Linked DNA regions of Yarrowia lipolytica. The protein of the gene in region 2 purifies or fractionates together with the protein of the main gene of each other region. This does not show direct contact. Links are inferred from orthologs where the notes say so. Each region holds a gene or a part of one and is shown on either strand. Other genes may lie near its edges.

The links.
Region 1: the proteins of YALI1_C20180g (region 2) and YALI1_F05624g purify together in Saccharomyces cerevisiae (affinity purification with mass spectrometry; 4 studies listed by BioGRID, with this or other methods). This does not show direct contact. The link is inferred for Yarrowia lipolytica from reciprocal best matches to the Saccharomyces cerevisiae genes PCF11 and YSH1.

The regions. Positions count from the first base shown.
Region 1 is NC_090775.1:559,476-565,182, reverse strand, and holds YALI1_F05624g (uncharacterized protein), read left to right. Parts: upstream 1-2,033; coding exon 2,034-2,123; intron 2,124-2,721; coding exon 2,722-5,115; downstream 5,116-5,707. Other genes in the region: YALI1_F05661g (uncharacterized protein), read left to right, coding at 1-722. UniProt on the Saccharomyces cerevisiae protein: Component of the cleavage and polyadenylation factor (CPF) complex, which plays a key role in polyadenylation-dependent pre-mRNA 3'-end formation and cooperates with cleavage factors including the CFIA complex and NAB4/CFIB. Has endonuclease activity.
Region 2 is NC_090772.1:2,015,917-2,020,516, forward strand, and holds YALI1_C20180g (uncharacterized protein), read right to left. Parts: upstream 2,692-4,600; coding exon 2,533-2,691; intron 2,097-2,532; coding exon 630-2,096; downstream 1-629. Other genes in the region: YALI1_C20198g (uncharacterized protein), read left to right, coding at 3,950-4,007. UniProt on the Saccharomyces cerevisiae protein: Component of the cleavage factor IA (CFIA) complex, which is involved in the endonucleolytic cleavage during polyadenylation-dependent pre-mRNA 3'-end formation and cooperates with cleavage factor NAB4/CFIB and the cleavage and polyadenylation factor (CPF) complex.

The DNA.
Region 1 (5,707 bases), on a different chromosome or scaffold from region 2:
TCGGTATCGGCGACCTCCAAGGTCTCATGGAGACGATGCAGAGTCTGAATCTCGACCAGAAGAAAACCATGGAGCACATTCAGGAGGGTATTTTCACACTGGCGGATCTCAGAGACCAGATGGGCAACATGCTCAAGATGGGATCGTTGTCCTCCATTGCTGGCATGATTCCGGGACTCTCGGGCATGGCGTCTTCCATTTCCGACGAAGAGGGTACCCGTCGAATCAAGCGAATGATCTACATTCTCGACTCTATGAACCAGAAGGAGCTGGATTCGGATGGATCCATTTTCAAGGAGGTGCCTTCTCGTATCACACGAGTTGCCCGGGGCTCGGGAACCTCCATCCGGGAAGTCGAGGAGGTGCTTCAGCAGCAGAAGATGATGGCCTCCATGGCGTCGCGAATGGGCGGCAAGAACGGCATGATGTCACGAATGCAGAACGCCCAGAACAACCCTGCCCAGATGGCTGCAGCTCAAAGACGGGCCCAGCAGATGATGGGCGGAGGAGCCGGAGGAATGCCCGGCATGGGAGGAATGCCTGGAATGGGCGGTATGCCCGGAATGGGTGGAATGCCCGGTATGGGAGGTGGTATGCCTGACATGAGTGCTCTGCAGGGCATGTTCCCTGGAGGAATGCCTGACATGGGCCAGATGATGAACATGGTACAGAACAATCCTCAGATGAAGGCCATGGCGAGAAGTATGGGTCTCGGCATCTAAGCAAAGAGCCTAGACGGCCAAGACGAGTAACGAGTCTTGGTGAGCTAGCACGAGGAGCGCAGCGCTGTCTTTGGGCAATGTGCCCCACTGTGTGAGACAGTCTTTTGTTTCCTCCCTGCTAGAGAAATCTGTGAAGAGGAACTCACAGAGCATTAATATTGTGTATAGTTGAATTATTTGGATTGGATGGGTACTGTAGAGTGTTGTGGAGCGAGCCATCAATGTGATAAATCACGTATATCATCTTATAACGGCGAATGTCCTCCGTCAAACATGTTGGGGTGTCCAGAAATGGAGAATTTATTATCACAACAGGTGGGTTTTTTGGACTGAAAAGATTCAGCGGCCCTGGAGTACACGCTGATTCTAAAGTCGTTCATATTGGTCCTTTTTTCAGCGAGTTCGAAACACCACCCCTAGCCGTGCGGCTCGGAAATTACCTTGCCCAAGTTTTTAATTATGGTGATGTTGCGTTGCGTCGGGTCGATCTATTTCGTGCTGAGTTCAGATGAATGAGGGATCTAAATGTTGGTGATTGAAATTCTTCATAAACAATTTTGGTATCAAATTACTCCTGGGAATCTCAAGAAGACAATGGTGCAATTAGGGGACTATTATGTTTATTATTGGCAGAGATATAGCTATAAAACATTAACTGTTGGAAGTTGACCAAATAAGAAACCGAAAAACATAAAACAGATCAAAACAGGGCTATAATAAACCCACAGACAATTCCCCATCTCTGAAAAATCTCTATAATCCCTTTTGGGCCCCCATCTGTCCTGTCTCCTCCAGCCAAATAAAGTTCATCTGCGAGACTACATTAAGTTGTGAACATTTCGAAAACAGTGTGTAACCACCAAACAGAACAACCAGTTGAAACTCGGATCATGGCTGAAAAACGCGAATCGCAGGTGAGTATTTGAAGTCACGTGATGGTTGGACGGTTGGAGCCAACCACGTGGAGCCCAGCGCGACGAAATGCGACAATTCGCAGAGAGATATGACCACGGACGGAGGAAATGGCGGTACAGGCCGCCGCCGTAGACTTGAGTGGATGACTAGCGATGAATGGATGGATGGACTGGCAGAGAGAGAGAGAGAGAGAGAGAGAGAGAGAGAAGGAGAGAGAGGAGAGAGAGAGAGAGAGAGAGAGAGAGAGAGAGAGAGAGAGAGAGCGGCAGGGGACCAGGTCACGTGACCAATCATGTGATCTGCAGTCTGACACTGACTACAGCCTGTCTCATGGGGACGGAGGTATGGTGACTTAACGTGCAGTACCGTCCAGGTGTAGACGATAGCAGGTGGAGGATGGCGCGGTGGAGTGGGCAGATCATGTGCTTCAGAGTGGGTCACTTTCTACTCGTGGGTCACTTTCTACTCGTGGGCAACTTTCTACTTGTGAGTCACTTGCTACTCGCGGGCCACTTTCTACTCGTGGGCAGACCTCGTGCTCAGAAAGGTCAGCTCATGTACTGAGACGCCGAGGCTGTTTGTGTGGCGATTTTATGGTTCTTGGTTGTTTGTACCATTCAGTCTGTGTCACTTGAATAGCCACGATCCCCCCTACACTCGTGAAAAGCAGTTCCGTGCTCTCTGTTCACAATACTGCGGCGTTTTCTTCTCTGTTAGACTGACCCATCTCCCAGCGGTTGCTCCCCCGTATGAGGGTGTGTCTAGTACTCTTCCATGCTGACCGCCCAATTCACCACTTCTGCGTTATTGTCATTGTCAAGTCGCCTAAAAATCCCCTACATCTTGTCGATAATTGTCAGCATGTCAGACTAGACGTTCTGCCTACAGCAATCCACAGGCGACCACCAAATCTGCAGTAGCCACTGTCAAGTTATTGATCGCTCAAGATTTCTTCTGTTGGTACTGACTGAATTGCCAGTGCTGAATCCGACTACGGCTCTTTGGGATCTCATTTGTCTACGATATATCAAATATTTGTCAGGGCCAGACTCACGGCTCCTCTTTTCAGTTCCCGCTAACCCAGACCGACGACTCCGACACATTTTCATTCGTGGCGCTCGGAGGTGGCCGAGAAGTTGGCCGATCATGTCACGTCATCTCGTTCAAAGGCAAGACTATCATGCTCGATGCCGGCGTGCATCCTGCCCATTCCGGCCTCGCCTCCCTGCCTTTCTACGACGAGTTCGATCTCTCAACCATTGACATTCTTCTCATTTCACATTTCCACCTGGACCACGCTGCTTCTCTCCCTTATGTGATGCAGAAGACCAACTTCAAGGGCCGGGTATTCATGACCCATCCCACCAAGGGTATTTACAGATGGCTCTTGTCCGATTTTGTGCGAGTCACCTCTGGAGCCGAATCGGACCCAGATCTCTACTCGGAGGCCGACCTCACCGCCTCGTTCAACAAAATTGAAACCATCGACTACCACTCCACCATGGAGGTTAACGGAGTCAAGTTCACAGCGTACCATGCCGGTCACGTGCTCGGAGCAGCCATGTACACGATAGAAGTCGGTGGCGTCAAGGTGCTGTTCACCGGCGATTACTCTCGAGAAGAGGACCGTCACTTGAACCAGGCCGAGGTGCCGCCCATGAAACCAGACATTCTCATTTGTGAAAGCACATACGGCACCGGAACTCACTTGCCGCGTCTAGAACGTGAGCAGAGACTGACGGGACTGATTCACAGCACACTAGACAAGGGCGGAAAGTGTTTGTTACCAGTATTTGCTCTTGGACGAGCCCAGGAGATTCTTCTCATTCTCGATGAGTACTGGGAAGCCCACCCTGACCTCCAGGAGTTCTCCATCTACTACGCCTCTGCTCTGGCCAAAAAGTGTATCGCTGTTTACCAGACTTACATCAACATGATGAACGACAACATCAGAAGACGTTTCCGAGACCAGAAAACAAACCCGTTCCGGTTCAAGTATATCAAAAACATAAAGAATTTGGACCGTTTCGACGACATGGGTCCCTGTGTGATGGTGGCGTCTCCTGGAATGTTGCAGAGCGGTGTTTCGAGGTCTCTGTTGGAGAGATGGGCACCTGACCCGAAAAACACGCTCATTTTGACGGGTTACTCGGTTGAAGGAACTATGGCGAAACAGATTATCAACGAGCCTAATGAGATCCCCTCAGCTCAGAATCCGGACCTGAAGGTTCCGCGACGTTTGGCGGTGGAGGAGCTCTCGTTTGCTGCCCACGTGGATTTCCAGCAAAACTCTGAGTTCATCGATCTCGTGGATTCCAAAAACATCATTCTGGTCCACGGTGAGCTCAACAACATGCAGCGTCTCAAGGCTGCTCTTTTGGCCAAGTATCGAGGCCTGAAGAACAGTCCTAGAGAGAAGACCATTTACAATCCTCGAAATTGCGAAGAAGTCGAGCTCGCGTTCAAGGGCGTGAAGGTGGCCAAGACGGTTGGCAAAATGGCCGAGGAAAAGCCGCATGTTGGTCAAATAATTTCTGGAGTGGTTGTGCAGAAAGACTTCAATTACGGACTCATGGGCGTTGCTGACCTGAGAGAACACGTTGGACTGTCAACCTCTTCCGTTCTGGAGCGACAGACTGTGACGGTCAACGCAGGAGTGGATCTGGTCAAGTACCATCTCGAACAGATGTTTGGATACGTGGAAATGAGAGAGACGGAGAACGTTAAGATTGAGGAGATGGAGGACGACGTGGCTGAGGAGGAGGAGGACAAGGAGGTGAAACAGGAGGTAGAAGATGTGACCATGGAGGGTGAAGTCAAGGATGAGACCGCGGAGGAGGTCAAGAAGGAGGAGGAGGTTGCGGAGGAGTTCAAACAAGAGGTTGAGGGTGATTCCGACACTTCTGCGGGAACCACATTCGTCGTGATGAACTCGGTCACAGTGAAACACACTCCCACAAGTTGCACCATTGAATGGGTGGGTTCCTGTCTCAACGACTCCATTGCCGACGCTGTTCTGGCCATTTTGCTGACAGTGGACAACTCCAGAGCGTCGGTGAAGATGTCTTCCAAGCAATGTGCCCATTCTCATGGCCATGAAGACGGCCACTCAAACTCCTCTCTCGACGAACGAGTTCTGCAGCTGTCTTCGATTCTGAAAGCTCAGTTTGGAGACTCGTACATTGTTTCTGAGGATGGCAAGTCGGCCAACATCAAGATCGACGCCATGGAAGCCACGATTTCCTTCTCTGATTTGTCTGTGACCGGCTCACCTCCTCCTCTTGTTCAGAGAGTCCAGGTGGCTGTCGATCGGGCCATTTCGCTCGTCGCTCCTCTGGCTCAGAAGCTGTCGGCCGTGGACCTGGTTGAAGGTTTCAAGGCCATTGAGAATGTCAAGGATAGGGAAGAGAATGGGGAGGTGAAGGCAGAAGATGAAGAGAAAGTCAAGGCGGAGGAGAAAGTCAAGGAGGAGGAGTAAATAGTATCGAGTTTGATGTACCCAATATACAGACTGTAATATGAAGCGTTCGTAGATGATGCAAAGAAACAGGACTGCCACCAGTCTCTGCAAAACCCCTCGGACCAATCTCCTCAGTCCCACCTCTCAGACTAACCGGCCAGTCCAGTTTAACCCTTCCCCACATCACCGGACCAGCCAAGGGATGGATCTAAATCTCTTTTAGTGAGTTCTTTCACGACAAGACCTTTCTTTGGAACAAAAATCTCGAGAAGAAAATGGACGAAAATGGTACCAAAATTGTTCCCCTGACTCTTTGAATCTTTTCAGACCTTCTTGGTTTTCGCTGGTTCTGATATTGAGCGAGTTATGAGTGCATTAGAGAACGGACATCCATAACTAGTGGGTTAGACAAACTTAAGTATAAGTTCAACTGGATTTACTTGAGAAGCAACCAAAGAATGAATATATCACACCAGAAGAGCAGTAAGTATTTCTGTAACTGGGTTTTTAATAGGTAAAGTACTTCTTTCAAATCAACTGATGTAGTCTGTTTTGTATTTGCTTGTCTGGTTCGACTGATAAGGACCCCCAGCACACTTTTTTACTCAAC
Region 2 (4,600 bases):
CAGAATCGTCATTTCCAACTCCGAGAAACAGAGAACATAGCAGTCTGCCTCGAGAAAGAGAAAGACAGATGCAAGTCAACGGAGATGCTGTAATTAACTCCCTTAGCAACCATCAACGGACACCCTAGCGATATAAAGAGCTCAGATTTAGTCTCCTCCACGATTTTTCAGTTCCACTAGACCCAAGAAAGAAAAGTCTGAAAAGAGAGAGAACAGTCATTGTCTGATTATCTAGATGACCAATGGCTACAAGTACAATTACTTGTTTATTGATTTGTAATTGTCGCAAACAGGACCAGTGGCTTGCTCAGAAATCTCAACAGGCTTCCGGAACGCCATGGGCTTCGTCCTTGTTGTCCGTCTTACTCGAAATGTACAGGATTATCTGGCCAGTTGGCTGTATCTACTTGTTGACCTACTTGTACTTGTACACTAGTGCCACTTCATTTGTTATCATACGGATAGATACCCGCACGTTTTATTATTTAATATCTAGTATCAAAGAATGCGATTGTGTGTCAGAAAAGGTCTGGATCTTCTGACTGTTTCTGTTTCTGTTTCTGTTGATGGCGCTGGCGGTTCTTCTGCAGCCAGGGCCTGATCAGGGAGGGTGAGAGATGTTGCTCGGATTAGTAGTCGAGCTCCACCTTCTCCCTCTTTGTCCTTCCTTCTCTATCTTCTCCTCTCCTCTTTCTCACCAGGCTCTCTGCCAGCTTTCCACTCTCAGCATAACATGTGGCATGGAAGATCTTATCTCCAACCTGAACCGCGTCTGTCCACACCCAGTCCTCAGCTTCATCACTGAGTTCCGTGTTGAAGCCTCCTGTGCAAATGGGACAAACCTGCTTCTTCTTAGAAGCACTGCTGGGAGCCAGAACCCATTGTTTCTTGACACTTTCCATGTCCACCTTTTGCACCTTTTCTTCTTTTTCCTCCTTTTGCTCTCCTGCCACCCACAAATGCTCGGCCAGGTACCACCGTCTGTTCTGAGCTCGTCCCTCGTCCTGGCGCATCTTCTTATTGATTCGGAAATGCCAGTCCATGTGCTGCATACGGGCATGGTCCTGATTATCTCGGAACCGCCGCCCACAAATGTTGCACACCTTGGGCATCTTGCCGTAAAGGTTGAATACCAGATTGGGGCGAGGCTTCAGCAGAGAAGACGTAGAAAGTTCCACGTCGTTAGACTCCAAGGAAGACAGCAAAGAAGAGGCACCAGAGGCCAACAGAGAGTTAATGTCCGGTGCAGGAACAGTACCAAGGTTAGGAAACATGGGAAAAGGCATACCAGGCATAGGCATGGGTGGAACAGGCATACCAGGCATAGCCGGCATTCCAGGCATTCCAGGCATACCAGGCATTCCAGGCATTCCACCAGGTATACCTCCTGCTAACAAGCCAGCGGCTTGTAGGGAAGCTAGCAAGTTGCTTGGTGTCGTCTGCTGCTGTTGCTGCTGCTGCTGCTGCTGCTGCTGCTTTAGTCGCTCGTTTTCTTCGTATTCAGCAAGCTTCTTCTCCTCATGGGCTAGAGAAGAGGCCAATTGAGCCTCAATATTGGACAGGTACGACACAGGAATGGCCTGGGACTGAAGAACGGCCTGTAGCTGTTTGAGGACAGGAATCCGTTCCTTGGCATCGACGTCGCCTGGAATATGTTGTAGACGGTCAGAAGTCATGTCGATCACGTGGCTGCACTTCTCCAGCAGCTGGGGTTGTGTCAGGCCCGCATTGGGCACTCCGAAACCTCCTTGGCCGAGAACTGGAGTGCCTAGAGGTGGAGTAGCGGGGTTGGGGGTGCCCAGGTTGGGGGTTGCGGGGTTTGGCGTGGCCCGTGATGTGACTTCGTTGATTCGTTCCAGAAAAGAGGCAATCTTTCGCATGGGTTCTGCTGGGAACAGCATGCCGCCTGTGGCCGACGTTTTCCAGGTGCCGTACAGCTCGATCAGTTTTCGTCGGATCGATTCGGGAACTTGGGTGTATGTGTCGGCAAAAGTGCGGTACAAGTTGATACCGAAGCAGGTTGTGTATGGTGCTCCTACGTTCTTGCAGATGGAGTCGAGCAGGTACATTGCTGGCAGCTTGTACTCTGGAGCGCACTGGGTTAGTATGTAGAGATAGATATAGGCGGCGGTGGCATATGGAAAAGATTATTGATGTGTCGTCATTCGCAGTATGATCTCTCGTCAGTCACTAATCACATCGTTGTCTCGAAGACATAACGACAGCCTGGAGATACAAACTCCATCACACGAGTTGGACCAAGCCAATCGATGGATCAGAGGTTGTATACATGTGCCACGTTGCAAAATCAATCGTCAACCTGTCCCAAGCTTCATGTTAACGCCACCCATAACCACAGTCGCAGCACATGATCACCAACATGACACCATACGCCTTATTAAACACCGTCACTGGGATAGAGCAAGAGTCGGCGTACCGTGTGGCCGGCACCGGTGTTTTCAGGTCGCTCTGTGTCCTTTGATCTCGTCCTTGTCGTCGGCATCTCCTCATTGTGGTTCCTCCGCTACTCACCTTACTTATTCGCTCCTCAATGGCTCGGGTAATGGCCTTGGCAGCGTGTCTGTTTTCCTCGGCAATCACCGTGAGGTTGGTGATGATGGGCTTCTGGACCCCCGTCAGCTCCTCCAGAGCGTACAGGTAGTCCTCTCGAATCTCATCCAGCTCGGACATTACATATATAGTGTCGCTGACGTTGATACTACGAGGAGGAAAGAGTCTTGCAGATGGATGCACGGCCTGAAAAAACTTTAATATTTAGTCATGTGACCAGCAAAGTTGCAAGAGTGCTGACTTATCAACCACGGTGCGAATTGAACGGCGAATTGCAGGAACAAAAGAAAAAAGCCATCCATCAAACTTGCGCTCCCATTTCCACTTCTCCCCTAACCCTTTATATATCTACAATGTACTGTACGTGCTGTTTGTACTTGTCCTCCAACTTTTAGTGTATGGCTCTTGTCTGGTGGCATTTTTTTTTAATTTTTTTTAATTTTTTTTAATTTTTTAATTTTATTTTTTCAAGTTTTGCTCTCTCTCCAGTTCGATTCCTGCTCTTTTTATTTTTATTTTTATTTTATTTTTATTTTTTATTTTATTTATTTTTAATTTTTACCAACTACAAGTGTTATCGTACGTTCGATTCTGACGTAGACCATTAAAGTTCGTGGAGATTAGCTCTCCGGAAATGAGCCGAGGTAGCACGAGGCGGAATTATGGATGGGATATGCGATGGCCGCGAGCCCGTAATGTCCACAATCAATTGTCGCTCACAAAAAGACCCGCTTTATCACCGCATTTCTCCGAAATTGGCCCTTGTTGGCGCGGAAAACCCCGACCGTTGGCTTCTCCACCTTTCTCACGTTGAGCAACTATTGTAGTTGAAACTTTAACCAACGTTATCAGATTTTAGTTGCCGAAACTGGCCAACCAGGAGGCGGCAAAAGCCACCACAACAGCCCTTGCAGCGCCCATGGCACACGCGCCTCTGCTATCTTTGCGCGGTTGGGCGCTATCCGGATAATTAGGCGGGGGTCCGCGTTTTGGCCGAGCGTCGGAAACTTTCGGATCTCGCACGGTAATTGTCGGGTGATAGACAGGGCCAGTATGACCAGCATCGCAGTTGGTGAGCAGCACAACAGGTCCGTCGAGCGCCGTCACGGAGGCGTTTGTGGCCTATCCCGAGCAATCCGGGGACGGTGGGCCACGTGACTCCCTCCCCTCCCCCTGCGCACACAAGACACACCCTGGTTTGAGCGCTGATACTTTGGCTGTTGGTTCCCAATCGCTGCCCCTCTGGAGAAACTTCGGAGCTGCATCCTGACTCACTTTGGAATTTTTGTCTTGGTGAAAAACCCAAACTGTATATCAGTGTCTGCTTTCCCTCCACACCTTTTGCACTTCTCCAGTCTCCATCGCTACCGTCCAACAAATGGCTCCTATTTCGTCCGATAAGAAGCAGTCTGGTGCTGCCCGAGTTCTCGGTTCTGGTGAGTATTGAATGTGGGTGTGGGCGCCTGGACCCCTGAAAACGACGGGCTCTCAGCCGGTCGCTTGGGATGCGCGCCGGTGTCGGCCTTTTTTCGGTCACCATGGCACCACCGCAGACCCATGTGGCATGTGAATATGACCACAAAAAGGTCGCGAGGAGGGATTGAAAAATAACAGAACCAGGGCGCCAAACACACCCCGTCTTTTTATCAGCGGCCGGCGATGATATGTTTCTGTTCCTTGCTTCTGGAAACACGCCCTTGTGTCTCTTCAGCCGTGTGCGCTCTTGTGTTGGGTGATATATGGGAAAAGGTGGTGGCGCTTGTGGGGTTCCCGTGGTTGATTTCAAGACACTTTGACGAGGTTGCACTCTGCCCAGCGACCGCACCTCTCAGTGACCCTGATTACGTTGATCGTATTGTCGTACGGCTGGGTTCAGGGAACCAATCAACTAGAGCGTTAATAAGCAAGTTTGATAGGAAGTAGACTGGCCCGGAAGAGTGTGAATTCACCCGTGGAGCTCCTACCGGATCATTCAGGGGTCCAGATCAACTGATTGACCGGTTTCAAACACCATTCTTCCATCGCTACA